Saccharomyces cerevisiae S288C: one gene and its partners. The protein of the gene in region 2 interacts with the protein of the main gene of each other region in a biochemical or structural test. Each region holds a gene or a part of one and is shown on either strand. Other genes may lie near its edges. The genes, in order: BUB2, TEM1, CDC15 and BFA1.

Region 1 (5,388 bases), 240 kb from region 2:
TTTTGTTCAAAAGAAACTGATCATGTCATCGATTAAAAGTAAAAGTATGCACATCAGCCTCGTGACAGATGAGGATCTCATGTCAAAAACCGCCAAGAAGCATGCATTATTGAATTTGAAACGTGGTAGATTATTAAGTATATGTCTATGTAATATTAAGTAAGACAAGGGCATTCACTTTACATGCAAATGCATTTGGAACCCTTGACCGAAAAAAAAAAAACAGGTTAACCGCAAAATACATGATCTTCCTTTATTAGAAGAACCGTTTGGCTTTAGTTAAAAATTGATGCTTTTCAGTGGAATGACGATCTTCGTTTACCTGACGCTCTTCATTTTCATCAACCTCATTTAGCAAGACTTCAGGGTCCACGTGCAAGTCTCGAATAACCTTTTCGGTCGCATCTTCCATATCCATCATACCATAAATTGCAATTGTGATAATACCAAGAATACCGGCAAAGCAGGAGAATGTCATGGCAATAATACCTTTTTTGGTAAAACCGGTAGGAATGAAGGCATGCTGAACATTTTCACCAGTTAAATCAGTTAAATCCAGTGTATTGGCAGCGGCGTTACCTTCAGTGGCCACAGAGCAACTCTGGCAAACTTCTAAGTGGTTTTCACTGAGTTGTTGAGAATGAGCATCTTGGATACCAAAAGGATCCTCCACGAGAACAAGACCCAAACCTTGCAACAAATGCCATTCGATATGACAATGGAAGAACCAAACACCTGGGTTATCGGCTTTAAACCTGATGACGAAATTGGATTGTGGTCTAACGTATAAAGTATCTCTTCTCATTGGGTATTCTGGGAAGGCAGGGTGGTTGTCCGGATCGAAACTGTGAGGAACTTCACCTAGGGCATCATCATATGTACGATCTCTCTGGATGGTTTGGAAAGCGTGACCATGTAAATGGAAAGGATGGGTACCTGTGTCCTGGTTATTTAGCACAATCTCCACGATTTCATCCTTCTCTAGGATGAAAGTGTGCGTGTTTGAACCGTAGATTTCGGAGTTGTTTGCTTGATCACCTGAAGACAAAACGGTCATCAAAGTAGGAACTTTTGGTGCAGTATAGGTGATATTATTGAAGAAGGCGTAATTCACACCGTTTTTCAAGTTATCCATAACAACGTCAACGGTAATCACATGATCTGGCTCGCCATAGATGGCTTCTTTCTCGTACGGTTGCAAGTAGAAATCGTCCAAGAAGTTATCAATTGAATCCACGTAATTTTGTGTGGGCAGCGCAGCGGTTTTGTTGTAGACCATATAAGAGGTTGCATTCAGCTGTAAATCACTTGGAATGACATCCAACATGGTGTCATCAAATTTCTGCATGATGGCGAAATTTTTGTCCGTGTCGTTTTTAGTGTGAACCAGGACTGTATATCTCTGAGCGACAGTGATGTAAAGCATATCCGTTACGTTCTTCTCGGTAGTGATACCGTCGATTTCGACCACGGTCATTTCGTGGTCCTCGATCCAAAAGTACTGCGAAACGAACCCACCCACGTTGACAATTCTCAAAAGATACGTCGTATCGGGCTGGACTTCCCATGTCAGATTCATCGTGTTGTTAACAATCAAGTTCTGTGGGATGGGCTCAGCACCTGTCGGATTATAAACACTCATGAACGACTTCGTCAAGTCCGTGACCAAGTCGTGGTACCACTCACTAAGCGATAAAGAAAGTTCCTCATCGTAATCGTAGGGGAAGCTATCATCCTTGATGATGAAAAGACCTTTCATCCCGTCTTCATATTGACCGTCCGTGTGTGAATGGTACCAGTAGGTGCCTACATTGTAGTCCACCGTGAAATTGTAAAGCATAGTACTGCCTGGCGCAATTGGACATTGCGTCAAGAAGGGCACACCGTCCATAGAGGCGGTTCCGTTTTGGAAGAGACCGTGGAAATGCATAGAAGTATTGGTGTTGTTCATTCCGTTGGTCAAGTAAATCTGCACACGGTCACCTTTGTTGACCGTTATATCTGGCCATGGGAACTGGCCATTACAGGTGATCACGGGACGGCTCTTTAGCCCATCAACGTTCCTGTAGTCCCAGCCAGTGGTCCAATTAAACGTGTGCGTCTCCGCTTGTGCTAGCGAGAGCATCGAGAAAAGCAAAACGGCTATAGAGAGCAAAGCGTTAGTCATCTAGTTCTAATTTTTTGCTACTCTTCCTTACACTGGGGTCCTCTTCGTTTCCTATGCCTATCCATCGCTTATAGAACAAGAGCTATAGGGCATGGCCTGCTTACATACATATATATATATATATATATATATATATAATCGCACTACATGCACGAGGCCTTGGCATACTCCCTCGAAGGATCGACTGTTTGAGTGCATCCTTCATTTTCTGTCGCAATTGGCGAGAATAAGAGCACCTGCAAATGGGTGCACTTTTGAAGATGGGCCTTGCCTGTTGGGCCTGCCTAAGTCAGCCTCGCCTAGCTCTAGGCGGAGGGTCTTTATCGGCGACTCAGCGTACTGTAGGGACCACCCCAGGCGCAACGGGCTGATTCGCACCCGGAAAGTAAAGCTTATTTCTGTCGGACGGAGAGTGTCCTTTTTCTCTCGCAGAAGACCATTTATTGGTCCTGAAACGGTATGAACATGTTATTATTCCTGTAACCGTGAAATAGGCAAGCCAAGGCATTATCGCAAAGAAGGCAGCACAGATTCTCGTATCTGTTATTCTTTTCTATTTTTCCTTTTTACAGCAGTAATGTCTCACACAGAAACACAGACTCAGCAGTCACACTTCGGTGTGGACTTCCTTATGGGCGGCGTTTCTGCTGCCATTGCGAAGACGGGTGCCGCTCCCATTGAACGGGTGAAACTGTTGATGCAGAATCAAGAAGAGATGCTTAAACAGGGCTCGTTGGATACACGGTACAAGGGAATTTTAGATTGCTTCAAGAGGACTGCGACTCATGAAGGTATTGTGTCGTTCTGGAGGGGTAACACCGCCAATGTTCTCCGGTATTTCCCCACGCAGGCGCTGAATTTTGCCTTCAAAGACAAAATTAAGTCGTTGTTGAGTTACGACAGAGAGCGCGATGGGTATGCCAAGTGGTTTGCTGGAAATCTTTTCTCTGGTGGAGCGGCTGGTGGTTTGTCGCTTCTATTTGTATATTCCTTGGACTACGCAAGGACGCGGCTTGCAGCGGATGCTAGGGGTTCTAAGTCAACCTCGCAAAGACAGTTTAATGGATTGCTAGACGTGTATAAGAAGACACTGAAAACGGACGGGTTGTTGGGTCTGTACCGTGGGTTTGTGCCCTCAGTTCTGGGTATCATTGTCTACAGAGGTCTGTACTTTGGCTTGTACGATTCTTTCAAGCCTGTGCTGTTGACGGGGGCTCTAGAGGGGTCCTTTGTTGCCTCTTTCCTATTAGGTTGGGTCATTACCATGGGTGCTTCCACTGCGTCGTATCCCTTGGATACGGTAAGAAGAAGGATGATGATGACTTCGGGCCAGACCATCAAGTACGACGGTGCTCTGGACTGTTTGAGAAAGATTGTTCAGAAAGAGGGCGCGTATTCCTTGTTCAAGGGCTGTGGTGCCAACATATTTAGAGGAGTCGCTGCAGCTGGTGTCATCTCATTGTACGATCAGTTGCAACTCATAATGTTTGGCAAAAAATTCAAGTGAAAAAAAAAGAAAACAACAAACGAATAAAATCTAAAAATTCTACATATTCTTGCTATTTATTTACATATTCATTCTTGCTACATACCTGTCTTATGCTATAATGACACTGGAGGTCTTCTTTCTTCTTTGAATTTATGTCCTGACAATTCAGTAAACGCCGTGCGGAAGGGAACCGTTTACGTACGCCAAGCTAAACATTGAAAAAAAAAAAAAAAAAAATGATAATAATAGTAATAATAGTAACGACGTAAAGGTAAAAGAAACAACAGACTTTTAAACTTGTTAACTTTTGCATGACCTCAATTGAAGATCTGATATCAAATCCTCCCCTGCTACTGCATTCCTCACTCTCTCAACTTCGCTACCTCATACTCAGTGAAGGGCTTCCCATATCTGAAGATAAACAGCAGCAGCGCACGCGATGTTACGTGTGGACGGTGCTCTCTCAAACTTCTATGGAGGCGTCTACACAACGGTACCTTGCGCTCTTGAAACTGGGCCCACCTTCCACAACCATTTACCAAAAAATCAAGAACGACACATCCAGAACTTTTCAGACGGATCCAAACTTTAGAAATAGAGTCTCAGAGGATGCCCTCATCCGGTGTCTGTCGTGCTTTGCTTGGCAAACACAACAAAGAAGACAAAAGACTCGTTTTGGTCGCATTCCTGTGAGCACATATGTGCAGGGCATGAACGTGTTATTAGCTCCTCTGCTTTACTCATGTCCTTCTGAACCTATGGCGTATCAACTTTTCACTAAGCTTTGTTATGAAATGATACCGACGTATCTAACTAAGAACCTAAACGGCGCCCAGAACGGCGCCAAACTACTAGATATTTCTCTCAGAATCATTGATCCAAAGCTGAGTAAATTTCTATCGGACAATTTACTTACAGCAGAGATTTATGGTATGCCTTCCATACTCACGTTATCCAGCTGCAATAAACCGCTTGATCAGGTCATTAAACTGTGGGATTTCATGTTTGCATATGGATTCCATATGAATATTCTCTTTGTGGTGGCATTCCTAGTTAAAATGAGATCCAAGGTTTTCAAATCGGATTCCCCTGTTAATTTACTACGACAGTTTCCGGATTTTGATGCTGACGAGATCATTCGGCTGGGCGTCGGGTTCATCGCTAAGATCCCTGCTCAAATTTATGACCTATTGGTAGACCACTTGACCGACCCAGACATATATATACCGTAAACTATGTGAAGAAATATTATATTTTATCGTTTAATTCTACAACGTTTATATGTCTGTATGTGTAAAAAAAAATAAAACGAAAAAAGCAGTGGGTAGATGAGAAAATTTACAGTAATTTAAGGTTATTATTCTATTATTGCACGAAATGAAAATGGCTCGTACGCATATCCTTCACCTTCAAAAAATTTGGACATTGCCTCCACCCAATGCAAACGTAGCGCATGCAACATTGCGGAAGTACCTTCCATGAAAACTAGGATACAAACGGTTAAAACAAACCACATAGCAAATAAGAAAACCACCTTCATGACAGCCAAAGGCGACCCTGAGTTTTTAGAACTGAAAGCGTTTGAAATTGTCATATCCCATAAAACACTAGATAATTGCGCATGCGCCAACGATAGTGCCCAAAGACGTAGATATGATGCTGTATGAGAGATACAATTTAAACAGAATTCAATAGTATGGATTACCTGATGAATCATGACATCGCCGAAATT
Region 2 (7,979 bases):
GTCATGCACAACGAAGCCGCTGGGACTTACTCCGTTTATATGATCCAGGAGTTGAGACTTAATACATTAAATAATGTTGTCGAACTCTGGGCTCTCACCTATTTACGATGGTTTGAAGTCAATCCTTTAGCTCATTATAGGCAGTTTAATCCTGACGCTAACATTTTGAATCGTCCTTTAAATTATTACAATAAACTGTTTTCTGAAACTGCAAATAAAAATGAACTGTATCTCACTGCAGAATTAGCCGAATTGCAGCTATTTAACTTTATCAGGGTTGCCAACGTAATGGATGGAAGCAAATGGGAAGTATTGAAAGGAAATGTCGATCCAGAAAGAGACTTTACAGTTCGTTATATTTGTGAGCCGACTGGGGAGAAATTTGTGGACATTAATATTGAGGATGTCAAAGCTTACATAAAGAAAGTGGAGCCAAGGGAAGCCCAGGAATATTTGAAAGATTTAACACTTCCATCAAAGAAGAAAGAGATCAAAAGAGGTCCTCAAAAGAAAGATAAGGCTACTCAAACGGCACAAATTTCAGACGCAGAAACAAGAGCTACAGATATAACGGATAATGAGGACGGTAATGAAGATGAATCATCTGATTATGAAAGTCCGTCAGATATCGACGTTAGCGAGGATATGGACAGCGGTGAAATATCCGCAGATGAGCTTGAGGAAGAAGAAGACGAAGAAGAAGACGAAGACGAAGAAGAGAAAGAAGCTAGGCATACAAATTCACCAAGGAAAAGAGGCCGTAAGATAAAACTAGGTAAAGATGATATTGACGCTTCTGTACAACCTCCCCCCAAAAAAAGAGGTCGTAAACCTAAAGATCCTAGTAAACCGCGTCAGATGCTATTGATATCTTCATGCCGTGCAAATAATACTCCTGTGATTAGGAAATTTACAAAAAAGAATGTTGCTAGGGCGAAAAAGAAATATACCCCGTTTTCGAAAAGATTTAAATCTATAGCTGCAATACCAGATTTAACTTCATTACCTGAATTTTACGGAAATTCTTCGGAATTGATGGCATCAAGGTTTGAAAACAAATTAAAAACAACCCAAAAGCATCAGATTGTAGAAACAATTTTTTCTAAAGTCAAAAAACAGTTGAACTCTTCGTATGTCAAAGAAGAAATATTGAAGTCTGCAAATTTCCAAGATTATTTACCGGCTAGGGAGAATGAATTCGCCTCAATTTATTTAAGTGCATATAGTGCCATTGAGTCCGACTCCGCTACTACTATATACGTGGCTGGTACGCCTGGTGTAGGGAAAACTTTAACCGTAAGGGAAGTCGTAAAGGAACTACTATCGTCTTCTGCACAACGAGAAATACCAGACTTTCTTTATGTGGAAATAAATGGATTGAAAATGGTAAAACCCACAGACTGTTACGAAACTTTATGGAACAAAGTGTCAGGAGAAAGGTTAACATGGGCAGCTTCAATGGAGTCACTAGAGTTTTACTTTAAAAGAGTTCCAAAAAATAAGAAGAAAACCATTGTAGTCTTGTTGGACGAACTCGATGCCATGGTAACGAAATCTCAAGATATTATGTACAATTTTTTCAATTGGACTACTTACGAAAATGCCAAACTTATTGTCATTGCAGTAGCCAATACAATGGACTTACCAGAACGTCAGCTAGGCAATAAGATTACTTCAAGAATTGGGTTTACCAGAATTATGTTCACTGGGTATACGCACGAAGAGCTAAAAAATATCATTGATTTAAGACTGAAGGGGTTGAACGACTCATTTTTCTATGTTGATACAAAAACTGGCAATGCTATTTTGATTGATGCGGCTGGAAACGACACTACAGTTAAGCAAACGTTGCCTGAAGACGTGAGGAAAGTTCGCTTAAGAATGAGTGCTGATGCCATTGAAATAGCTTCGAGAAAAGTAGCAAGTGTTAGTGGTGATGCAAGAAGAGCATTGAAGGTTTGTAAAAGAGCAGCTGAAATTGCTGAAAAACACTATATGGCTAAGCATGGTTATGGATATGATGGAAAGACGGTTATTGAAGATGAAAATGAGGAGCAAATATACGATGATGAAGACAAGGATCTTATTGAAAGTAACAAAGCCAAAGACGATAATGATGACGATGATGACAATGATGGGGTACAAACAGTTCACATCACGCACGTTATGAAAGCCTTAAACGAAACTTTAAATTCTCATGTAATTACGTTTATGACGCGACTTTCATTTACAGCAAAACTGTTTATTTATGCATTATTAAACTTGATGAAAAAGAACGGATCTCAAGAGCAAGAACTGGGCGATATTGTCGATGAAATCAAGTTACTTATTGAAGTAAATGGCAGTAATAAGTTTGTCATGGAGATAGCCAAAACATTGTTCCAACAGGGAAGTGATAATATTTCTGAACAATTGAGAATTATATCATGGGATTTCGTTCTCAATCAGTTACTTGACGCGGGAATATTGTTTAAACAAACTATGAAGAACGATAGAATATGTTGTGTCAAGCTAAATATATCAGTAGAAGAAGCCAAAAGAGCCATGAATGAGGATGAGACATTGAGAAATTTATAGATTCGGTTTTTATTATTCATGACCTAGCATACACATACATATACCTACATAGTAGCGCATTTATCCAAAACATACGATATTGTGGATGTACATACCTTCTATATCTCCTTAAAGCTATTGTGTAGCTTGATTTAAAATATGCTAACGCCAACTCTCACATGGTAGCAGGCGGGTATAGTTGTTTTCATGTATTAACGCCCGGCGATGGTGCCTTAGATGAGGGCGACGAGGAGGGCTTCCTGATATTATGGCTCTTTCTATCCTGACTTTTGTTATGATGTCGATGTTGCTGGCCACCTAGGTGCTTATATATCAAAAGAGGATCGCCGATTTCATTGATTTCTGGGATGGTTAATGTCAAATTAAAGATCTTTGCCAGTGCAATTTTGAAAATTTTTTGAATGTTTATAGATTTGGCAGTAGAGCAGAATATAAGAGGAGCATTCATGACCTGTGCATACTTCATACTCGTTCTCGAGATTTGTTCCTGATATTCCGGGTCTAAGTCTATTAGTAAATCGTACTTTGTGCCCACCAAAATAGGAATTGCCGAATCATTTAGCCCGTACGCCTGCCTATACCACTCCTTTATTGAACTCAACGTCTCTGGACGTGTCAGGTCAAACAGAAATATGATCACTGAAGACCCTACCGTCGCAATTGGGAGCATGTTGATGAATTCTCTTTGTCCGCCTAAATCCATTATAGAAAATATAATATCCGTGGAGCGTATGCTTACTTTTCTTTTCAAAAAGTTCACTCCCAGCGTCTGTGTGTATTCCTTATCGTATATGTTCTGTACGTACTTCACCATCAGCGATGTTTTCCCTACTTGTGCATCCCCTACTAATCCAACCTGAACTTCAACCTGATTTCGTACCGCAGGTATAGAATTGTTTGCTCCCGTGCTTGGTGTAGCCATCTTAGCTTAACTCAATTTAATTTCTACAGCAAAATCCAAACGTAATATCTATATTTTTCTCGAAAAACTGAGGACAAGAGCCAATCAATCATCTATAATCCAATTTATATTATTTTTTCCCTTCTGGGTTCTTTTCTTCCTTTTCTTGTTTACCTTTTTTGCTTTTTCATAAAATAATTTCTCTAGATTTGAAGACAGCATTTTTGTACATCCATACACCATACACCATACACCATAGCACCAGTACACTATATTTTTATGAATTTTACTAAGAATTATTCCTGCAGGAGCTCCACTGAAAAAAAAAGAGCAGCATGGATGTCCGGTAGAAGTGCTACTGAGTAAATGGGAAGGACGCGGTAGATCCAGTGTGGAATCAAGGTGGTGCCGGTGTGAAGCCGCCTCGGCCGGCTGGACTCTCCAGGCCGGAGTGATGATTGCCACGCTGAACGTAACACAGTTTCACAATACCAGTGTCCTCATTAGTGAGTTCCAATGTATAGTTAGTAGTGGTATTTTGATATATGTGAGTGGTAGCAGATTTGAACTTAGTTAGTTGTATTCGCCTTTGAGGAAACCAAGCAAAAAACCGATCTAGACTAATCATGGCTGTTGGTAAGAATAAGAGACTATCCAGAGGTAAGAAGGGTTTGAAGAAGAAGGTCGTTGACCCATTTACCAGAAAGGAATGGTTCGATATTAAAGCCCCATCCACTTTTGAAAACAGAAATGTTGGTAAGACTTTAGTTAACAAGTCCACTGGTTTGAAGAATGCTTCCGATGCTTTGAAGGGTAGAGTTGTCGAAGTTTGTTTGGCTGACTTGCAAGGTTCTGAAGACCATTCTTTCAGAAAGGTCAAGTTGAGAGTCGATGAAGTTCAAGGTAAGAACTTGTTGACCAACTTCCACGGTATGGACTTCACTACCGACAAATTGAGATCAATGGTCAGAAAATGGCAAACTTTGATCGAAGCTAATGTTACCGTTAAGACTTCCGATGATTACGTTTTGAGAATCTTTGCTATTGCCTTCACCAGAAAGCAAGCTAACCAAGTTAAGAGACACTCTTACGCTCAATCTTCCCACATCAGAGCTATCAGAAAAGTTATTTCTGAAATCTTGACCAGAGAAGTTCAAAACTCTACTTTGGCTCAATTGACCTCCAAATTGATTCCAGAAGTTATCAACAAGGAAATCGAAAATGCTACCAAGGACATCTTCCCACTACAAAACATCCACGTTAGAAAGGTTAAGTTATTGAAACAACCAAAGTTCGACGTTGGTGCTTTGATGGCTTTGCATGGTGAAGGTTCCGGTGAAGAAAAGGGTAAGAAGGTTTCTGGTTTCAAGGATGAAGTCTTGGAAACTGTGTAAACAAAATAAATATAAATTATAAGATTTGACATGTACACAATTTATTAATATGTTTTCTCTTTATTATTAATATAATTAATTATTACTAAAAAAAAGAAGGTGACGCACCATACAGAACTTGCTCTTTTGTCCAATACTGTCTTTTTATGGTTGTTATTTTTTACGTTACCGATTTCGGTTTCTATTGAACTGTAATAACTTGCCTATGTGTCTATATGCCTTTTCTATTTAGTAAGAGCTATGCATTATACGTGGTCATTTTACTTCTTCAACAGAGGAAGACGCACTAAAATCGCTTGTAGTGCCTCCAAGTTTCCTGCTTGAGTGATCGCTATCTGCCTCCTCTGCGTCATTAACCGCATCTGGCTCTTCTATCACTCCAGTTTCTTTGTCTGTTTCCTCATTATTACCCTGGCGACTATTATCTTCTTGTTGACTGCTTTCCCCATCAACTTCATTATCCTCTTTTATATCCTCAACGTCTACTTCCATATCATCTTCCTCTTCATTTTCTTCATCCTCCTGATCGTCATATTCATGATCGCTTTCCTCTTTTTCGTCCACATTTTCTATAGTATTCACTTCCACCATTGATCTCTGCCTTTTAAACCTCTCTTTTCTTTCCTCATCTTCATCCGATTCATAATCTTCATCAATGTTATCTCCTTCTGCCTCATTGAGCAGGCCATCTCTCTTCAGAAGTTCTTCTTTGAATATTGATGTGATCTTGCCAAATATTTCTGCATCTCTTAGCCACTTCTCTTTGTAAGACGATACCTCCTGCCTTACGTTTTCTATATCCGATTTCATTGAGGCGTTGATACTTTCTAACTCTTTTGGGCCCTTAGAGAAATCGTCATAAATACGATATCTCTCCTCTGAACTATCCTTTTTCAGGCCCGGATCAACTAGTTTGAGATAATTCTTTTCAATTAAAAACTTGACCAGATCAGTGCCAAGTTCTTTCTCCCATTCCGCACGTGTCACCACAAGGCTGGTACGGCCTTCTGACAAGCCTTCCACCTCTCTGTTAATTACTTGGACAGAATCGTAAAGACCTTGTAGTTTTCCAATACGTAAAAGCAACTTGCTATGGATGCTCTTTATATCAGGCAATTTATCTTTGAGATTTTCCAGCTTGGCCAATGTCTCCTGTTGGCATGTTTCCCAATTTTCGTCTGCTACTTTCTTTGTGTCAATTGATGACTGCAGATCCAAAAATCGAAGATGAGCACTTTCTTTTAGTTGGGAGATATTTTGCTCAGTAAGTTTTTCAATCTTGCTATCATCATTGGATAATGTGCCATTTATAATGCTTCCTGTCAGCTTGGTTACTTTTCCTAAGATGTCTAAATATTTATTGAATGGAGTATCTACTTCACTGTAGTGCACTTTGGTTCTAACTTGGTCTATTTGTTTTTGTGACAGAGGCATTGTGAGTTAGTCTCCTTTGGCTTTAGTTCTTTGATTCCTTTTTTACAGCCAGTTGTTGTATTTTACTTTAATTTAGATAATGTTTCACTTTTTTCTATCGAAGGAGGTTCACCAAAATAATAGAATGAACAAAGCGCAAGAAAGAAAGATAAAAAGGTGTCAAAGAACCAATATCAAAATAAATACAGATAAAACCGCGGAACTATGTATCTCGGCCTTGATTATTATAGCAGTTTGTATTCTATATAACTATGTGTATTAATATGTACTTATTCTAAGATGTGGTCTTCGGTATCCTGACCACGAGGTTCGTCGGAAACCAATGAATGAACTTGATTACTATTAGACTCTTTTTTCAACTGAAATCTCTTCCTACTGTGTCTTTGCAACATCGCTGCGATACCATTATTAGATTGTGTGGTCGCTGATATGGGTGCTGGAGAATTTGACTTTGACTTGGATTTAGCCTTATATTTAGGGCCTGGTGCGTAGTCTAACTTCCTTTTTTTCACTTGCTCATCTGCCTCAAGTTGCTTATAGGCACTTTCGGCTGAAGATAAAGTAAGATAAAAATCAATTACCTTTTGATGTGCTTTGATCCTAGTTCTGTCAAAATTTAACACCTGTAGTCCTTCTCTTGAAACAGCTCTAGAAAGGGCAACGTACGCCTGACCCTTTTCGAATACTCTACGTAAATCCACTTTAACTTTTGGAAGTGTCTGACCCTGAGATTTGTGAATGGATAGTGACCAGGCAAGCATTAGCGGTAATTGAACCCTTGATACCAGTGGCTTTTCATTTTCGTCTTCTATCGCCCAATCCTCCGGCTCGACAAGCACCATCCTCGTACTCATATCAGAAGCTTTGAATCTCACGAGAGGTAACCTTCGTTTTCCTGCAGAGTTTTGATGTATGGTCTGCATCAGTTGTTCCTTGCGTTTTATATTTTCCAGCACAACTTCGTCATCTGTCTTGACTCTCTTCATGAAGTCAAAAACTGAGGAATCTAGGGGAGAGACCGGCTCACCTATATCACTCTTAGCAAATCCCTCCTTCACTGAAGATTTGCGACTAGCTACCGCACTTTCTTCCCCATCACTTTGCTCCCTCTCCATTGCAGCTTTTAGTTTTGAAGGGTTTTCTGCCCAAGTCTCGAGTTTTTCTGGAGGCATAGATGGATCGTTTGTTAGCGCCTCATAGCAAAAATATGTTTCTGGATCCATGAATTCGATGACTTTACCAAGGGATCCATTAACTAATGTTGCGTCTAGATTTTTTACCATCATAACCTGAGCGCCAACTTTCAAATGTAATTCCTTTGGAGCTAAAAAATTTTGTAACAGCCTTTCCTTTAACTCTTCGTCTTCCAAAGCACCGCCATCGATTGCATTAAAAATATGCACCTGGCCTGGCAATTTACTTAGCCTTGAATTATTGGCCCTTTCTACTTCCATTCTGGTACTATAAAGTTCCGCGGGAATAATTTCATCGTCTGGCAATGGTCTAGAAAGCTTCTTGAACTCTCTTTCTGTTTCATCATCAATATTGCCTAGTCTCATCCGATTCAACATGTCAATGAACTTAACATCGCCTCGCTGTCTAAAAACCTTTTGTAGCATAATCGTCATCTTTACACCTTCTTTCCAAGCCTTGGATTCGAAAGCAAACTTAGT
Region 3 (9,673 bases), on a different chromosome or scaffold from region 2:
ACTTTTTTTGTGAACACCAGTGCTATGAATTTTTCAAGGATCTCATAAAGGGAAAATATCCTGATGTACAGTGGGATACAGCGAATACACAGCCGTTCATCAGTGTTCCAGAAAATCAGGCTGCAACTCAAAATTCTGATGTTGAACCAACCGTAAAGTGGTGCCTCTTTAAAGCAGCCGAAATTCAAGCCCATGCTGTGCGGGAATATTGGCAAAGTCAATATCCAGATGTGGGCATACCTGCAATATGAGTAGAGTTTACGTATCTAATATATTGGTATAAAAAGAACGCATCTTTTTTTTTTTGGGCTGTTCTGGGCTCCAGGAAGTCATAAATTGTGGGTACGCTTTAGATGTGTTTGCAATATTTGCAACTGCTCTCCCAAAAAAAATTAGCATTGCAAGATATTGAATAACTGGGTCGTCCCGAAGCAACAGTGGGGAAATAGTTTACGAGTTTTGTTCAAGTTAAAAGCATTTTTTGTTGTGAAGAGAATAAACTTGATTTCGAAGGAGATCAAATTCGAAATAATCTGCGAATTTATTATGATCGACTAGGCAACGAAGACGCAGTTTTCTATTAAATCTGTGCGTTTGAGTAACTTAACTGACTATAATATCGCAATCTTAACATCATTAAACAATGTAAAAGAGGTCATACGCTATAAGAAGTTGATTTGATCCCCCGTGGATTTTGAAAAATGTCAAGATCAGCATATTGACCCATGTTTTTCCGCTCAATCCAGTCTATCAATCATTTTTCAACAAGGATAACCATAACATTCACCCACCATGCTTTGGTTCATAAGATATACGGGGAGATCAGCAACTCTTCAACTTATTGAACATGTTGAGAGCAGGATTAAATAATCAATGTCCTGTGATTGCAACATCTATCATGCCTGACGTTTCTCGAACGATACAATCTACAATTTAATGAGCCATTTTAGCATATTAACGAGGGCTGCATGAGGATCGAATGGACAAAAGTGTTTTCAGGCATGGGAGAATGGGATGCTTATAGAGGAGTTTAACCATGAAATTAAATGATTCTCCAGCAAGAAAAAAAAAACTCCTGACTCAGTTCATGTGGCGGGAAATTTCTCTCATTGTCTCCCCCTGCAGCGCTACTAATCTTAAAGGTAGTGGTGGCTTCGACATTATATCGTTGGTTCAGGTTGTCCGATCACTAATGATCTGTTACTTTATTGCTATGTTATGTGTCAAAAGGTGATATCCCCATTTTTACTGATCGCAGTAATATTTTAACCTGCCATGGTTAAATTGTTTATTGTCATTGAGTTGAGCACTTTTTCATTGCACTGTAGTTGTTGCGTATTTCAGACTTACTCTTATAGTGACGCTAACAGGAGGTCTGGCTCTTAATACAAGGACGTCGTAATATTCTGTTCACCGGACTCGAAAGCAAGAAGGAAAAAAGCACATTGTAGCCTTTTCAAAAACCTATCTTTTGGTACTAATTTATGGCGGCCCATACAGAGAGCTACCCTAAGAAATAGTTCGCATTCGTATATGAACTTCGGCTTTGAATATTGCGGATTCGTGCACAATACAAGACTTCTGTCGTTCCATGTCATCTATTGCGCGATTATTTTTTCACCAATTCCTTTCATTTCTAGTGGTTTCAAGGCGCAAGATTAATCTTAGATTTTACCTCCATCAAAAGCTCGGTAATTGGCACGTCATTTTACTATATGGCCTCAACAACATCGCTATACAGATTTGGGCGCCCTACTTAGCGAGACTTCCTACATTTGGAAATTACCCTAAAGGCATATTCTCTTCATGTAATAGCTCGCACAATGTAACCCGATTCAATTGATGCCCCAGTCGTCATTTATGTACAAGCATATCTACGCTGGCTCTGAGACTTGTGTTGTCCAAACAAGAACCCCCATCATATCTAGCGTGAGTATCAAATGGTTGGCAATAGTTTGTGTGGTCTGATTATTTACGTACAGCTCCCCTTTTTGTGTGCATATTCCTGCAGATGCGACTCTAAGAGCTCACACTTAATTTTTCATTGTTTCTAATTTGGGAAAAGTCCGATTTCCCTCCTACTAACCGTTTAGTGCCAAGGGTGAGATGGCCCTTGAACGAGGGCCCAAAATAAATTTGGCTTTGGTTCTATTTCTTGGCCAAAACTGCAGCTGCAGCCCTATAGGCACTTTTCCTGTAGAGAACATTCTTGTGCTATGGAACATATGAAAGGATGGGGCATAAAAAAACGGCTTCCTATACGAAGTATAGCATCGTTCAAGAACAACCCGTCCCCATAGTAATAATGACTTAGTCGCTAAGTGGAATGTGGAAGGCATGAGTGTGAGATGGGCGACCAGTAAGAGCCCATGTGTGCAGATGTAGTTGTTCAAAGTTTCATATAAATACAGCGGCTTGATCAGCTTTGTTTGAGACATTTCTCTGTTCTTTTCCTTCCAGTTAAGCCTATATCATCACTAAGCAATAACCCAAAAAACAACAAATACAATGGTCAAATTAACTTCAATCGCTGCCGGTGTCGCCGCCATTGCTGCTGGTGCCTCCGCCGCAGCAACCACTACATTATCTCAATCTGACGAAAGAGTTAATTTGGTTGAATTAGGTGTTTATGTTTCCGATATCAGAGCTCATTTGGCTGAATACTACTCTTTCTAAGCTGCTCACCCAACTGAAACTTATCCAGTTGAAATTGCAGAAGCTGTTTTCAACTACGGTGATTTCACCACCATGTTGACTGGTATTCCCGCCGACCAAGTTACCAGAGTTATCACTGGTGTTCCATGGTACTCCAGCAGATTAAAGCCAGCTATCTCTAGTGCTCTATCCGTAGACGGTATCTACACTATCGCAAACTAGAGTCCCTGCTTTACGAATGAAACCTGTACAGGTATGAGAGGTTACGAAAAAAAATGATAAATGAAAAAAAAAAAGCTTAATAATATGAAATTAATAGTATGAATAGTTAGGCGCATGTATATAAATATAAATTTTTGTATATATGTATTATTAATATTATAAATTTCTTATTATTAAACCATCCTTTACGGAAATAACGGCCTATTCCCTTAGTATTTTGTTGTAGCTCGTGGAGTTATCCATTTTAAATGGATCTTGGGATAATTTTTACTGCTTCCCTCGTACTGGGAGCTTAATACACGTTCGTCTTGTTATCATCATAAATATGTGTTTATTATTCTCGCCTGGAAGGAAATCTTCAGTATAAATTCGTGAGGAATTTAGAATATAAATAATTCAATCATAAGAAAACATAAAAAGATCAAGTAAATAATAGAGGCATACAAGCATAACCAAATAGTACTATAAACAATTTTAAATTACACGTAAGAGATAATGGGTTATAAAGTATGTTTTTTTAAGCCATTACTGCAGCGTTCTTTATCATTATTTGAGTTCGAATGTGGAAAATGACGACTGAAATTTATAAGATAAAATATTCGAACTATATAGAAGAAAATTTTACACTCTTCGCCTTTGAAAAACATGAGTGAATGTCCTTGATCGTTATTTGGCCTTCTGAAACTGTCCATATGGGTTATTTTGAGTTCCTTATAAAGGCTTGGCGCATTATCGAATATCGTTTAGTAAAATTTATGATCCACTTGCATCGGCATGGGCATGAGCAGTACTCATTACAAAATCCAAATCAGTGATATTTACAGTAGTCACAAATTACTGTTATTTTTTATCCATTTTTGTAGTTTTTGTACAAATATACTATTGGAAATAGAAAAAAATTCCTTTGAAAGGATCAATTTTAAGTGGTAAATAGAATGAACAAGCCCAGGACAATGGATTCAGAAGGGGCCTTATCGTGTCTCATAGATATTTTTCTTCTCGGTAACCTTTCAGTAATTTCTTGAGCACGAACTCGAAGCGTTTCATCAGGTATTTCATAACTATGCATGATTTTTGATGGCTTTGCATCATATTAGAAGAAAATTTTGCAGCTGAAGAGCTCTAATACGGCTTTTCTGTGGTCGTAAAGACAAGGCTGTTCATAACGCTTGTTGCCATTATGTAGCTTTGCACATCTCATATCGGTAAGGATGTCGTTTGTCATCTAGCGGCGAACTACTGTAATGTAATAATGTCCTCTGGCGTCGTGTATGGAAAAGAGGCATAATCAAAATTGGGCCTATCAACTCATTAGCACTCTATGCTATACTGTAGTGCTCTGTGCGGACTTTGCTGTGCCATTATAATCCTTTCCACCTTGCGATGGTCTTTCCGCTTTTCTTGCTGTTATTTTTGTATACGGGAGATCTGCCTCACAAAAGGTATATCTTCTACTTGGAGGCTCGAGGAAGGACAAAACACACATAAGCACTACCCATTTTCCTGGTAAGACTATACCATGAACAGTATGGCCGATACCGATAGAGTCAACTTGACTCCCATCCAGAGGGCATCTGAGAAATCCGTGCAATACCACTTGAAGCAGGTCATTGGGAGGGGTTCTTACGGGGTAGTTTACAAAGCCATTAATAAACATACTGACCAAGTCGTGGCAATAAAGGAGGTCGTGTACGAAAATGATGAGGAACTTAATGACATTATGGCAGAAATTAGCTTGTTAAAAAATTTAAACCATAACAATATTGTTAAATACCACGGCTTCATACGAAAAAGCTATGAATTGTATATCCTCCTCGAATACTGCGCTAATGGTTCTTTGAGGAGGCTCATTTCAAGGAGCTCTACCGGATTAAGTGAAAATGAATCGAAAACCTATGTGACACAGACACTATTGGGGCTGAAATATTTACACGGTGAAGGAGTCATCCACAGGGACATCAAGGCGGCTAACATCCTGCTGAGTGCTGATAACACTGTCAAACTTGCTGATTTTGGCGTTTCCACTATTGTGAACTCCAGCGCCTTAACGCTAGCGGGCACACTCAATTGGATGGCTCCAGAGATCCTGGGCAACAGGGGAGCTTCTACGCTCAGCGACATTTGGTCTCTAGGTGCCACTGTAGTTGAAATGCTCACAAAGAATCCACCCTACCACAATTTGACAGACGCCAATATCTACTACGCTGTTGAAAATGATACCTACTACCCACCTAGCTCTTTCTCTGAGCCACTAAAGGATTTCTTATCTAAATGCTTTGTGAAAAACATGTACAAGAGGCCGACAGCCGACCAGTTACTCAAGCATGTGTGGATCAACTCTACCGAAAATGTGAAGGTCGACAAGCTCAACAAGTTCAAGGAGGACTTTACCGACGCTGATTATCATTGGGATGCCGATTTTCAAGAAGAGAAACTAAATATATCACCCTCTAAATTCAGTCTTGCAGCGGCTCCCGCTGCCTGGGCAGAAAACAATCAAGAACTAGATTTAATGCCCCCCACTGAAAGTCAATTGCTGAGCCAATTGAAGAGTTCATCTAAGCCTTTGACGGACTTGCATGTGCTTTTCAGTGTTTGCTCCCTCGAGAACATCGCTGATACAATTATCGAGTGTCTGTCGCGCACAACTGTTGATAAACGATTAATAACTGCATTTGGCTCCATTTTTGTTTACGATACCCAGCATAACCACTCTAGGTTGCGACTGAAATTCATCGCTATGGGAGGAATTCCACTGATCATTAAATTCGAACATTTAGCCAAAGAGTTCGTCATCGACTACCCTCAGACTTTAATTGAATGTGGAATAATGTATCCTCCGAATTTTGCATCGCTGAAAACCCCAAAGTATATTTTAGAACTCGTCTATAGGTTCTACGATTTAACATCCACAGCCTTCTGGTGTCGCTGGTGTTTCAAACACCTCGATATATCACTCCTTCTGAATAACATCCATGAAAGAAGAGCCCAATCCATACTACTAAAGCTATCGTCATATGCACCATGGTCTTTTGAGAAAATTTTGCCCTCTTTAATTGACTCTAAGCTAAAAAAGAAAATTTTAATCAGTCCTCAAATTACTTACGTAGTCTTCAAATCAATAAACTATATGATAACCACGAATGACGATAAAATACACAAGTCCGCTATTCCTTCTTCTTCCTCTCTACCGTTATCCTCCTCACCCACGAGGAACTCACCAGTGAATTCGGTACAGTCTCCATCAAGGTCCCCTGTTCATTCTTTGATGGCAACGCGTCCCTCTTCTCCAATGCGACACAAGAGCATTTCAAACTTTCCCCATCTGACCATATCTTCAAAATCAAGACTACTAATTGAATTACCGGAGGGTTTCTTTACCTGGCTAACATCTTTTTTTGTTGACATGGCCCAAATCAAAGATTTATCTGTTTTAAAGTACTTCACCAAGCTTTGTTACCTTACAGTACATATAAACAGCACTTTTTTAAATGATCTGCTTGACAACGATGCTTTTTTTGCTTTTATCCGGAATATTGATACCATCATTCCCTTTATCGACGACGCAAAGACAGCAGCTTTCATTTGGAAACAAATCACTGCTATATGCGTTGAAATGAGTTTGGATATGGACCAAATGAGTGCTTCTTTATTTTCTACAGCTATGAATTTCATCAGAAAAAAGAATAACACCTCCATAAGTGGACTGGAGATCATACTGAACTGCTTGCATTTTACGTTACGCAATGTAAATGATGATGTGGCTCCTACAGTGGGCTCATCAGAGTCTCATAGTGTTTTCCTCATAAAGGTCAACAATGACGCTGCTATTGAATTACCGATTGATCAATTAGTTGACCTGTTTTATGCATTGAATGACGATGACGTTAACCTCAGTAAACTAATTAGCATTTTCACGAAGATATGCTCATTGCCCGGTTTTGAAAACCTTACAATTAATATCATATTTCACCCGAACTTTTATGAAAAGATTGTTTCTTTCTTTGATACCTATTTCAACAGTTTACTTATTCAAATCGATCTATTGAAATTCATAAAGCTAATATTCTCAAAATCGTTATTGAAGCTATATGACTACACAGGACAGCCGGATCCTATAAAGCAAACCGAACCAAATCGTCGTAATAAGGCCACTGTTTTCAAACTTCGTGCCATTTTAGTACAAATAACGGAGTTTTTAAACAACAACTGGAACAAGGATGTCCCAAAAAGGAATTCAAATCAAGTTGGGGGGGACTCAGTTTTGATCTGTCAGCTATGTGAGGATATCCGTTCATTATCAAAAAAAGGAAGCCTGCAAAAAGTTTCAAGCGTCACTGCAGCAATTGGTAGTTCTCCAACAAAAGATGAGCGTAGTAATTTGCGATCCTCCAAAGATAAAAGTGACGGCTTTTCCGTCCCCATTACAACATTTCAAACATAATGTAGGAATTGCATGTGCATACATACATATATAGAGAAATAATACAGCATTACATTAACACTATATATAGAATTGTGAACCTTCCAATACTGAAAACGCATCTGTTTGGAAAAGAGATCAGAAAAGTTTTTGAATTTAAAGAGGCCAGTAATGATAAAAAAGCATATACATATATATGCTTTTTTTCTTTTCTTTTTTTTTTCAATTGGGGATTAAATGTATGAACGACTCAAAGTGCATTTTGTTAAATGTTTCTAGCTATAGATCAATAAATCTGAAATACGATATCTGACATGATTGCAGTGGCACAGTCTTCCGATAGGTTACAGCCAAGTTTTTTTTTTAAGGTTTCTGAATTTTTTCATTACGTTTCCTAATTAGGTTAAACGTAAATAAAAGCGACTTTTCAAAAGAATATCAAATCATATAACATGAAAAGAGCAAGATTCACAATACTAATTTCAATGAGAGTGCTATTTGATAATTGAATCAATTCTCTGTGTGAGTATGCATAGACGACAGTTTTTCCAAGAATACCGTAGTCCTCAGCAGCAGCAGGGACACCCACCAAGGTCAGAATACCAAGTTCTCGAAGAAATTGGGAGAGGTTCATTTGGGTCTGTACGAAAAGTCATCCATATACCTACCAAGAAACTTTTGGTTAGAAAGGATATCAAATATGGCCATATGAATAGCAAAGAGAGACAACAGCTGATCGCTGAATGTAGCATTCTATCGCAGTTGAAGCATGAAAATATTGTAGAATTTTATAACTGGGACTTCGATGAACAAAAAGAAGTGTTATACCTTTATATGGAATATTGTTCCAGGGGTGATTTATCCCAGATGATTAAGCACTACAAACAGGAGCATAAATATATACCAGAAAAAATTGTGTGGGGTATCCTGGCCCAATTATTGACTGCGCTCTATAAATGTCATTATGGTGTTGAATTGCCAACTTTGACCACAATATATGACCGGATGAAACCACCGGTAAAAGGCAAAAACATCGTTATCCATCGTGATCTGAAACCAGGAAATATATTCTTAAGCTATGATGATAGCGATTACAATATTAATGAACAAGTAGACGGTCACGAGGAAGTGAATAGTAATTATTACAGAGACCATAGAGTGAATTCAGGGAAAAGGGGGAGCCCTATGGACTATAGTCAAGTTGTGGTAAAGTTAGGTGATTTTGGGTTAGCCAAATCTCTGGAAACTAGTATTCAATTTGCCACAACATACGTCGGTACACCATATTACATGTCGCCTGAAGTGTTGATGGACCAACCATACTCCCCACTATCCGACATCTGGTCACTAGGTTGTGTTATTTTTGAGATGTGTTCGTTGCACCCCCCATTTCAGGCAAAAAATTATCTCGAGCTACAAACTAAGATTAAAAACGGGAAATGTGACACCGTCCCTGAGTATTACTCTAGAGGGCTTAATGCCATAATACATTCAATGATAGATGTGAACTTAAGAACCAGGCCTTCCACTTTTGAATTACTGCAAGATATTCAGATACGAACTGCAAGAAAGTCGTTGCAATTAGAGAGATTTGAAAGGAAGTTACTGGACTATGAAAATGAGCTGACAAACATTGAAAAAATCCTCGAGAAGCAAGCTATTGAATACGAAAGAGAACTGAGTCAGTTGAAGGAACAATTTACCCAGGCAGTGGAGGAGCGAGCCAGGGAAGTAATTAGCGGTAAGAAAGTTGGTAAGGTTCCAGAATCTATAAACGGATATTATGGTAAAAAATTTGCCAAACCTGCATACCACTGGCAAACAAGATATCGATAAAATTTGCTCTGAGAACATTTATACATTAATACATACGGGTATGTATGAATCATATTCAGTGAGGAGTTACACTGGCGACTTGTAGTATATGTAAATCACGTTAGTGAGACCATTTAGACCCTGTCAATGTTTCATAAGCCTCTATATATTTGGCCCTTGTCCTGTCGACAATGTCTTGGGGCATTTTGACGCCGTTAACACCGTTCAACTTATTAGCAGTAAGCCAGTCTCTTAAAAATTGCTTATCGTAAGAATCTTGGGATTCTCCTACCTTATAAGAGGCACCGTTCCAGAATCTAGAGGAGTCTGGCGTTAGCACCTCGTCCACTAGAATAATTTCATTGGTCTTTTCGTCAATACCGAATTCGAATTTAGTGTCTGCGATGATGATGCCCTTCTCCTTAGCATAATCTTTGCACTTGGAGTACAGTTTTACAGCCAGTTCTGCCACTCTACGTGACAAATCTTCACCCACCAGCTCAGCGGCCTGGGCAGGAGAGATGTTTTCGTCATGTTCACCTTGTTCAGCCTTGGTCG
Region 4 (8,746 bases), on a different chromosome or scaffold from region 2:
TTTGGCAGGCTTAACCACAAGTAATCGTCTCATTAGTAAATACAGAATTCCTGTTGTGCTTTTGGATAAGGCGGCTTCTATTGGTGGGAATTCTATAAAGGCTTCTAGTGGTATTAATGGTGCTCACACAGACACTCAACAAAATTTAAAGGTAATGGACACTCCCGAATTGTTTTTGAAAGATACTTTGCATTCGGCTAAAGGCAGAGGGGTTCCATCACTGATGGATAAGTTGACTAAGGAATCCAAGAGTGCTATCAGGTGGTTGCAAACAGAATTCGATTTGAAATTAGACCTCCTTGCGCAATTGGGCGGTCACTCTGTTCCAAGGACCCATAGATCTTCTGGCAAATTACCACCAGGTTTTGAAATCGTGCAAGCGTTATCAAAAAAACTAAAGGATATCTCTTCCAAAGATTCCAATCTCGTGCAGATTATGCTAAACAGTGAAGTAGTGGATATCGAGCTTGATAATCAAGGTCATGTTACTGGTGTAGTATATATGGACGAGAACGGAAACCGTAAAATCATGAAGTCACACCATGTCGTGTTTTGCTCAGGTGGATTTGGTTACTCTAAGGAAATGTTGAAAGAGTACTCACCAAATTTGATTCACTTGCCAACTACTAATGGCAAACAGACTACAGGTGATGGTCAAAAAATCCTTTCAAAGTTGGGTGCCGAATTGATTGATATGGATCAAGTGCAGGTACACCCTACCGGCTTCATTGATCCAAATGACCGTGAAAATAACTGGAAGTTTTTGGCTGCAGAGGCATTGAGGGGTTTAGGCGGCATCTTATTGCATCCCACCACTGGAAGAAGGTTTACAAATGAATTGAGCACCAGAGATACAGTAACCATGGAAATACAGTCTAAATGTCCGAAAAATGATAATAGAGCACTTTTGGTAATGAGCGACAAAGTCTACGAGAACTATACGAATAACATAAACTTTTATATGTCCAAAAACTTAATCAAAAAAGTGTCAATCAACGATCTGATCCGACAATATGACCTACAAACTACAGCTTCTGAACTGGTAACTGAACTGAAGAGCTATTCCGATGTTAATACTAAGGATACGTTTGATAGGCCATTGATTATCAATGCCTTTGATAAAGATATTTCGACTGAATCAACTGTTTATGTTGGGGAAGTTACACCAGTTGTTCATTTCACAATGGGTGGTGTGAAAATTAATGAGAAATCTCAGGTAATTAAGAAAAATTCGGAAAGCGTTCTATCTAATGGGATATTTGCTGCTGGTGAAGTTTCGGGTGGTGTTCATGGAGCCAACAGATTGGGTGGATCTAGTTTGTTAGAGTGTGTTGTCTTTGGAAAGACAGCTGCGGATAACATAGCAAAATTGTACTGAGAATTTATAGGGAAATAAAAGATATTTTTGCAACGTACTTTACATTTCAATAATTAATGCGACATGATAGGATATACTGTTTGCTATTTCTTTCCGTAACGATATACGATTTTTTCTTTTCTTTGGAGTTCCAAATGAAGAATATATCTTGTTGGGAAAAGCTATAGTATTAGGTTTACAGAATATGGTAGAGGTTTCTCCCCGACGATATAGGAATCTACAAGAGAGAGCATGATTCTACACGATAATACTGCAATTTCTTCTTTGCGTTGAAGTGTCACCATTGCCTATCCTTTTACATTATCAATGTCAATGTTCCCTCTTCTAACAAACTGAATGACTTTTCTACACGATTCATATTATCTTCTTGCGCAGTAAATTATGTTAACGTAATAGTAGGGTCTCTTGTGCTTCATTATTTTGTAACTGTACACATAATTGACACGTTTAACAATTAGTGAGCGCAAGTGGTTTAGTGGTAAAATCCAACGTTGCCATCGTTGGGCCCCCGGTTCGATTCCGGGCTTGCGCAGTTTCTTTTCTTTTTTTCTGGAAAATAAGAAAACTTATTTATGGAAGCAAAAATGGAATAAAGGATTGGGACGAAGTTAGTGAAAAAAAACTGAAATAGTCCTAGAGTAACTCCGAAGTGTCTTTGTATAAGCTATTATCTAGAAATCACGAGAGGGGAAGAAATGTATCGCAGTAGAAACCGACCAAAAAGAGGTGGAGAAAATGAAGTTAAGGGACCAAATTCTGCCTTGACTCAATTTTTAAGAGAAGAAGGGATCAGTGCTGAAAATATCAAACAAAAATGGTACCAGCGACAGTCGAAGAAGCAAGAAGATGCAACAGACGAAAAAAAAGGTAAAGCGGAGGATGATAGCTTTACTGCCGAGATATCTCGAGTAGTTGAAGATGAAGAAATTGATGAAATTGGAACAGGTAGTGGTACCGAGACAGAAAGAGCTCAGGTTTCCTACGATGCCAGGATGAAATTAGTCCCTGCTGATAGTGATGAAGAAGAATATGAAACTAGCCACATTTCTGACACGCCAGTCAGTTTAAGTTCGGCTAATGACCGGGAATCATTGACTAAAAAAAGGCAAAATACTGCAAAAATTATCCAAAATCGTCGCAGAAAGCGTAAAAGAGCAGCTGACCTATTGGATAGACGCGTCAACAAAGTATCCAGCTTACAAAGTCTTTGTATTACGAAAATTAGTGAAAATATATCCAAGTGGCAAAAAGAGGCTGATGAATCATCAAAGTTGGTATTTAACAAATTGAGAGATGTCCTTGGTGGCGTATCAACCGCTAATTTGAATAATTTGGCAAAAGCACTATCGAAGAATAGGGCCCTGAATGATCATACTCTGCAACTTTTCTTGAAGACAGATCTAAAAAGGTTAACTTTCAGCGATTGTTCTAAAATTTCATTTGATGGTTACAAAACGCTAGCCATTTTTTCGCCACACCTAACCGAATTATCCCTACAAATGTGTGGGCAGTTGAACCATGAATCATTGCTTTACATTGCTGAAAAGCTTCCGAACTTGAAATCACTGAATTTAGATGGACCATTTCTGATCAACGAGGACACATGGGAGAAGTTCTTTGTAATAATGAAAGGTAGATTAGAAGAGTTCCACATTTCTAATACGCACCGCTTCACCGACAAATCATTATCTAATTTATTGATCAACTGCGGTTCTACCTTGGTATCCTTAGGGTTATCCAGACTAGATTCTATATCAAATTACGCTTTATTACCGCAGTACCTAGTCAACGACGAATTTCACAGTCTCTGTATTGAATATCCATTCAATGAAGAGGATGTTAACGATGAGATCATCATAAATCTGCTAGGTCAAATCGGGCGCACGTTACGTAAATTGGTTTTGAATGGCTGTATTGACTTGACAGATTCAATGATAATCAATGGTCTGACTGCATTCATTCCTGAGAAATGTCCATTGGAGGTATTGAGCTTGGAAGAATCAGATCAGATCACTACAGATTCACTGTCGTACTTTTTCAGCAAAGTAGAACTGAATAATTTGATTGAATGCAGCTTTAGAAGATGTCTACAATTGGGCGATATGGCAATTATAGAGCTATTGCTTAACGGAGCAAGAGATAGTCTGAGAAGCTTAAATCTCAATTCATTAAAAGAGCTAACTAAGGAGGCATTTGTGGCGTTAGCCTGTCCTAATCTGACGTATCTTGATCTTGGTTTTGTACGTTGTGTTGATGACTCGGTGATTCAAATGTTGGGTGAGCAAAATCCGAATTTAACTGTAATTGATGTTTTCGGAGACAATTTGGTTACTGAAAAGGCCACAATGAGGCCTGGACTTACGTTGATAGGGAGACAGAGTGACAGTATATAATAAAATAAAGACATATAAAACGTGTATTAGATAGAAAACGGAAAATTGACTAATGTTTTTATTCCTATTATACTCAGATCGTCAAATGTTGCCTTTATTTTCTATTGAAGGGATTTTATGGCATCTCGCGAATAATAAACAAACAATAATAGTAAAAAAAAAAGTGTAAACTTATGTATTCAGCGCAGATAAAAGGAAAAAAACGAGAAGTTTGACGTAAAGAAAAAAGTTCGAAAACTTTTGTAGCAGTTGAAAGTTTTGTATGCTATGTCAATTAGGCCTCTCACGTTAAACGGTTTAGATGAGCCAGAAACCTCTTTTGAAGAACTGAATACAACTCTACCTCGCTTTCAATCCCATGAAACATTAACTTTGGAAGAAAACGTGCCACCATTGAGTACATCAACTTATATACCGCCTCCATCCTCGGTAGGTACTTCTGACACTGGCACGGTATTTTCCAATAGTACCAGCGCGTTTTGGTCTAATAAGCAAGCAGACGATGATCAGGACATGGAGGTAGACCAGGATGATGAATTTCTAAATGACTTCCAGGAATTCCAAAATAAAAAGGATGATTTTGACGATGCTATTAAAACAAATTTTCATTTGAGAAATGGATGTCGAACTGGCCCTTTCAAAAACGACATTTTCGCAGAAGAGTTTGATAGAAAACTGAGTTTGGAAGATAAACCAAGGCTAAAGCAACCTAGATCAATGATGGAATTGAAACCAAAAAGAAAACTATCAAATAGCGTCACTTCAAGAAACTTAAGGTCTGGTAATTCTGTAAGATTTAAGAAATCTATGCCTAACTTAGCTTTAGTTAATCCAGCTATCAGAGAAGAAGAAGAGGACGAAGAACGAGAAAGAGAAGATCAACGAGAGTTTAATTACAAGATTGATAACGATACGCAGGACACAATTTTGGCGAAATTCAGTTCAGATGATGAAGGTGACTTTCTGACAGGATTTGAAGAATTAGAGGGTGAAGCAATTGATGAAACGATTTCTTCGAACGATAAAGAAAGTGCCGACCATCCGCGTTTCTTAAAGAAGTCATCCTCATCTTTGCCATTAAAAATATCACCTGCACAATATGATATAGTAAAGCATGACGAATTATTAACTCCAGGTCTTCATAGGCGACAACGAGATTGGAATACCCAGCAGGAACTGGACTCTTTTAAAGAAAAACGATCAGTAAGACACTGTTCTAATCAAAATGTACAACTCAATGGTCCAGCTAAAATCAAAACAATAAAACAGCAAATTGATCATAATACTCCAATGAAGAAAGGTTCTATGATATATAACCCGAAAACTATGAAGTGGGAAGGAAATGAAAACGTCTTAAGCAAATTTAGTGATGTAGACACGGCAAACAGGAAAGCTTTATTGATAAAAAACAAGCTACAACGAGATGCAGATTCTAAGAAGCAAAAATATTCTGATCTACAGCATGCAAGAGCCACTTCGAGAAATCAAAAGGTCATCGGGAACATGATTTTAGATGAACAAAATTTAAGATGGGTTAGTGTTTCAGAGGAAGAAGCAGACCCTTTTGCAGGCATTCCTGAGATAAACTTACCACCAGTTGGCAAAAGTATGAAAAAACGTAGCTCCTCACCATTTTTGCGTTCCAAAAGCCAAGTTAATACGCCATTTGTTTCAAATGACAATGATGGCGTTTATCAAAGTACGGCTGCTCAAGCAAGACTCCGTAAATACCATTCAATGAGGACACTTAACGGTACAACAGAAACTCCAGAAATAAGCTCTACTTTCCATTTGAGTTCAAGAGCATTGGAAAAATTTTACCACGAGGAGAACAGGTGGTGTAAAAAGTTAGCCTCATGGTTTATACCCCGAGATGAGACCATTATCAGTGTTGATGAGGAAACAATCATGGATGAAAGTACGGTCAATAGCAAGAGAAAATCCTATATGTATGAAATCAGGAACATGGTAATCAATTCGACAAAAGATTAGCCCTTTAGCCTTCTTATAACTGTTTCTTTACCGTTATCTTGAGTACATTCATTTCTCTTACATTCCAAAATTAGATAGAACCTTGAATCGTGTCAACTTTTCGCCGACATTTCGCGTCTGACAGAAAAAGAAATGTTGCAGAAAATTCGAATAGATGTTTCAAATGAAAATAGACCATGAGGGACACATTAACATTTCAAACAAAAGAGCCCTTGATGATTATTAAAACAGATCTTTATGGTTTGTTTAGCAAACACTTTGGTAATTTCATGAATATTTGACTAGCAGGAACAGAAAATCAAAAATGTTTAACCATGATTGGAAGTACTCCATTAATTCTAAGACTTTCGCCGATTTAAACATTGAATTATTTCGAAACCACAAGTTCAAAACTGTTTTAAATTACATAATAGGTGTAGTTGGGTGGAATGGATTAAAACTCGCCCTTTTTGTTTCTGACATTTACACATGTATCAAATTGCTGGCATTCAACTCCTGGTCAAACAACATCATCAAACCATACTTACCCTTTAAAATATCCAAATGGTTGTTTAGCGGTTGTATTTTAGCATCGATTGTGCTATTGATATGGGAGGCTATAGCGGGAATGAGGATTTACAAAACGGGAAATATCTCTTTGACTTATGTCAACAATTTTTCCAGAAACCTAAATTCAGTGCTCAATTATTCCAAGTTTTGTGTTTATAATATGATCGAACGAAAGGGTTTTCGACAGAAAATGACATTTTTTACTTTTTTTCAACTGAAAGATTGTATTAGATTAATCTTCACGGATACCCCAAGGCAAGTTATTAATGGTCTTACGCTGTGGTCAGTTCTCGTAACAGTAAATAAAAACGAGGATCTAGGCGATCTGGAATCATTTACCGGTTTGATCAACAAAATAAAGAACATTGGCCAGACCAATCATGAAGAAGCAGTGATATTGTCGCTGATGCTATTTTCCTTTATAATCTGGGCATTATTTGTCTTCAAGTTTCTGCTTGCTGTCATTTGCTCGATTTTTGTTTATTATAAAATAATCAATGATCAGGAATATAGCGGGTTGCGTGAGTACATTTGTGTTACCGTCAGCGAAAATGTTGATGAACTTGTTGAAAGACAAAGGAAAAAGGAAAATGATGACACGATTTATAAGACAGGTCTTCTCGAATCTCAGACTTTTGACGATTTTAAAGAAGTTGAAAATAAAATTGAAACATCTTTTAATGATACGTCATATGCTTCTAATAATGATTCTATGATTGAGCTAATAGAGAGAAGACCCGAATACAAAAGTCAGGATGTATGTGGGCCCATTCCCACAATGAAGAAAACGGAAACAATGGAATCGTTCGTTGACAATGGCAATCCACAATATACCACTAGATTCTCTGCGATTCTAGATTCACCATATATCAACAGCTATGAAAGTAATGATATAAAGAAAGCAAAAATACAAAGCAGAAGCGTAAATACTCCAAAATATGAGGATTTGTCTTCTTCTGACATTTTCAACAAAATACACTCTGCTGGACAATTAAAATCTACAACTTCTATGGAGTTTCACGGGCCATTAGATTCTATGCCAAATACAACAAACAACATCCGTAATTTTAATAGCAACAGTAGTAGACCTAGACCACCTCCTTTACAGACAAAAAGTTCGATTAATTCAAAAGCTGACTCGAATGATAATGGAAGGATTTATACACCAATGAAAGCGTACTTCAGGGAGCCTGATCTTCCGAGGAAGGGTTTGCTGGAAGATGAAGATCGTACATATAATTATACTTAATAGGCTGGCAAAAGCCCTTTGCATATTTCATGAATTAGATAGACGTGATTAGAAACAGCCGTTAGTATGTTTCTGATAAAAATAATACTTTTTTTGTAACACTATTTTCATATATTGGATTGATACCGGTTATAGCACAAACATAACAGCCATGAAAGTTTCTTTGAAAACCCCTTTTAACATTTGCTTGTAAGAGATAGGTTAATTTTTTATAGTTGCTGAGATTCCATTGTTGGTAAAGACTTAATATTAGGTATACAGAATATACTAGGAGTTCTCTCTGGGTATGTAGGAATCCACAAAAGGGTGTCACTAGTTCAACATAATAACATCTTTTTTTTATTCCTTCTTTGATATTTTGTCATATTATCCTATTATTTTATCAATCCTTGCATTTCAGCTTCCAATAGATTTGATATTTGTTTCTCAATATTATGTCATCTTCATACACAGTATGTGATAATATACTAGTAACATGAATACTACTAAATGAGTACTACCTTAGGGGTTCATTACAGCAGCTTAAGCGAAAGTAGAAAATGAGGCGGATATTTGTTGGAATAAAAATCAACTATCATCTACTAACTAGTATTTACGTTACTAGTATATTATCATATACGGTGTTAGAAGATGACGCAAATGATGAGAAATAGTCATCTAAATTAGTGGAAGCTGAAACGCAAGGATTGATAATGTAATAGGATCAATGAATATTAACATATAAAATGATGATAATAATATTTATAGAATTGTGTAGAATTGCAGATTCCCTTTTATGGATTCCTAAATCCTCGAGGAGAACTTCTAGTATATCTACATACCTAATATTATTGCCTTATTAAAAATGGAATCCCAACAATTACATCAAAATCCACATTCTCTACAATATTGATTTCCATCGTGTAAGTTTTCTGCACGAAGTTTATTCATTCAATTTGAAGTGCTTCGTAATAATATTACTATGCAACTTAGGTACCTCATATTTCTTAGAGTTCAACCAAGTTGGTTCCGTTGGCGTAATGGTAACGCGTCTCCCTCCTAAGGAGAAGACTGCGGGTTCGAGTCCCGTACGGAACGTTGATTATTTTTTTTTTTTCGTTTCTTTATAGAAAAAATTCAGACGATATTACCTTGCGATGAGATAATCTTACCGCAGAAAGAGTGCCACAGTGGTAATAACTAGTT

The links.
Region 1: the proteins of TEM1 (region 2) and BUB2 form a complex in vitro, tested with the Saccharomyces cerevisiae proteins (4 studies listed by BioGRID, with this or other methods).
Region 3: the proteins of TEM1 (region 2) and CDC15 form a complex in vitro, tested with the Saccharomyces cerevisiae proteins (one study listed by BioGRID).
Region 4: the proteins of TEM1 (region 2) and BFA1 form a complex in vitro, tested with the Saccharomyces cerevisiae proteins (4 studies listed by BioGRID, with this or other methods).

Annotation. Positions count from the first base shown.
Region 1 is NC_001145.3:385,601-390,988, reverse strand, and holds BUB2 (Bub2p), read left to right. Parts: upstream 1-3,967; coding exon 3,968-4,888; downstream 4,889-5,388. Other genes in the region: ferroxidase FET3, read right to left, coding at 257-2,167; ADP/ATP carrier protein AAC1, read left to right, coding at 2,745-3,674; STV1 (H(+)-transporting V0 sector ATPase subunit a), read right to left, coding at 5,014-5,388. UniProt on the Saccharomyces cerevisiae protein: Part of a checkpoint which monitors spindle integrity and prevents premature exit from mitosis. This cell-cycle arrest depends upon inhibition of the GTP-binding protein TEM1 by the BFA1/BUB2 complex.
Region 2 is NC_001145.3:142,378-150,356, forward strand, and holds TEM1 (Ras family GTPase TEM1), read right to left. Parts: upstream 3,500-7,979; coding exon 2,762-3,499; downstream 1-2,761. Other genes in the region: ORC1 (origin recognition complex subunit 1), read left to right, coding at 1-2,577; 40S ribosomal protein eS1 RPS1B, read left to right, coding at 4,105-4,872; MFT1 (Mft1p), read right to left, coding at 5,128-6,306; DNA helicase PIF1, read right to left, coding at 6,576-7,979.
Region 3 is NC_001133.9:169,859-179,531, reverse strand, and holds CDC15 (serine/threonine protein kinase CDC15), read left to right. Parts: upstream 1-4,396; coding exon 4,397-7,321; downstream 7,322-9,673. Other genes in the region: DFP1 (DUP240 family protein), read left to right, coding at 1-251; seripauperin PAU7, read left to right, coding at 2,509-2,676; serine/threonine protein kinase KIN3, read left to right, coding at 7,829-9,136; ADE1 (phosphoribosylaminoimidazolesuccinocarboxamide synthase), read right to left, coding at 9,237-9,673. UniProt on the Saccharomyces cerevisiae protein: Protein kinase of the mitotic exit network (MEN) essential for late nuclear division in the mitotic cycle. Promotes mitotic exit by phosphorylating DBF2 and directly switching on DBF2 kinase activity.
Region 4 is NC_001142.9:529,989-538,734, forward strand, and holds BFA1 (Bfa1p), read left to right. Parts: upstream 1-4,038; coding exon 4,039-5,763; downstream 5,764-8,746. Other genes in the region: OSM1 (fumarate reductase), read left to right, coding at 1-1,378; UV-damaged DNA-binding protein RAD7, read left to right, coding at 2,074-3,771; KCH1 (Kch1p), read left to right, coding at 6,068-7,561. UniProt on the Saccharomyces cerevisiae protein: Part of a checkpoint which monitors spindle integrity and prevents premature exit from mitosis. This cell-cycle arrest depends upon inhibition of the G-protein TEM1 by the BFA1/BUB2 complex.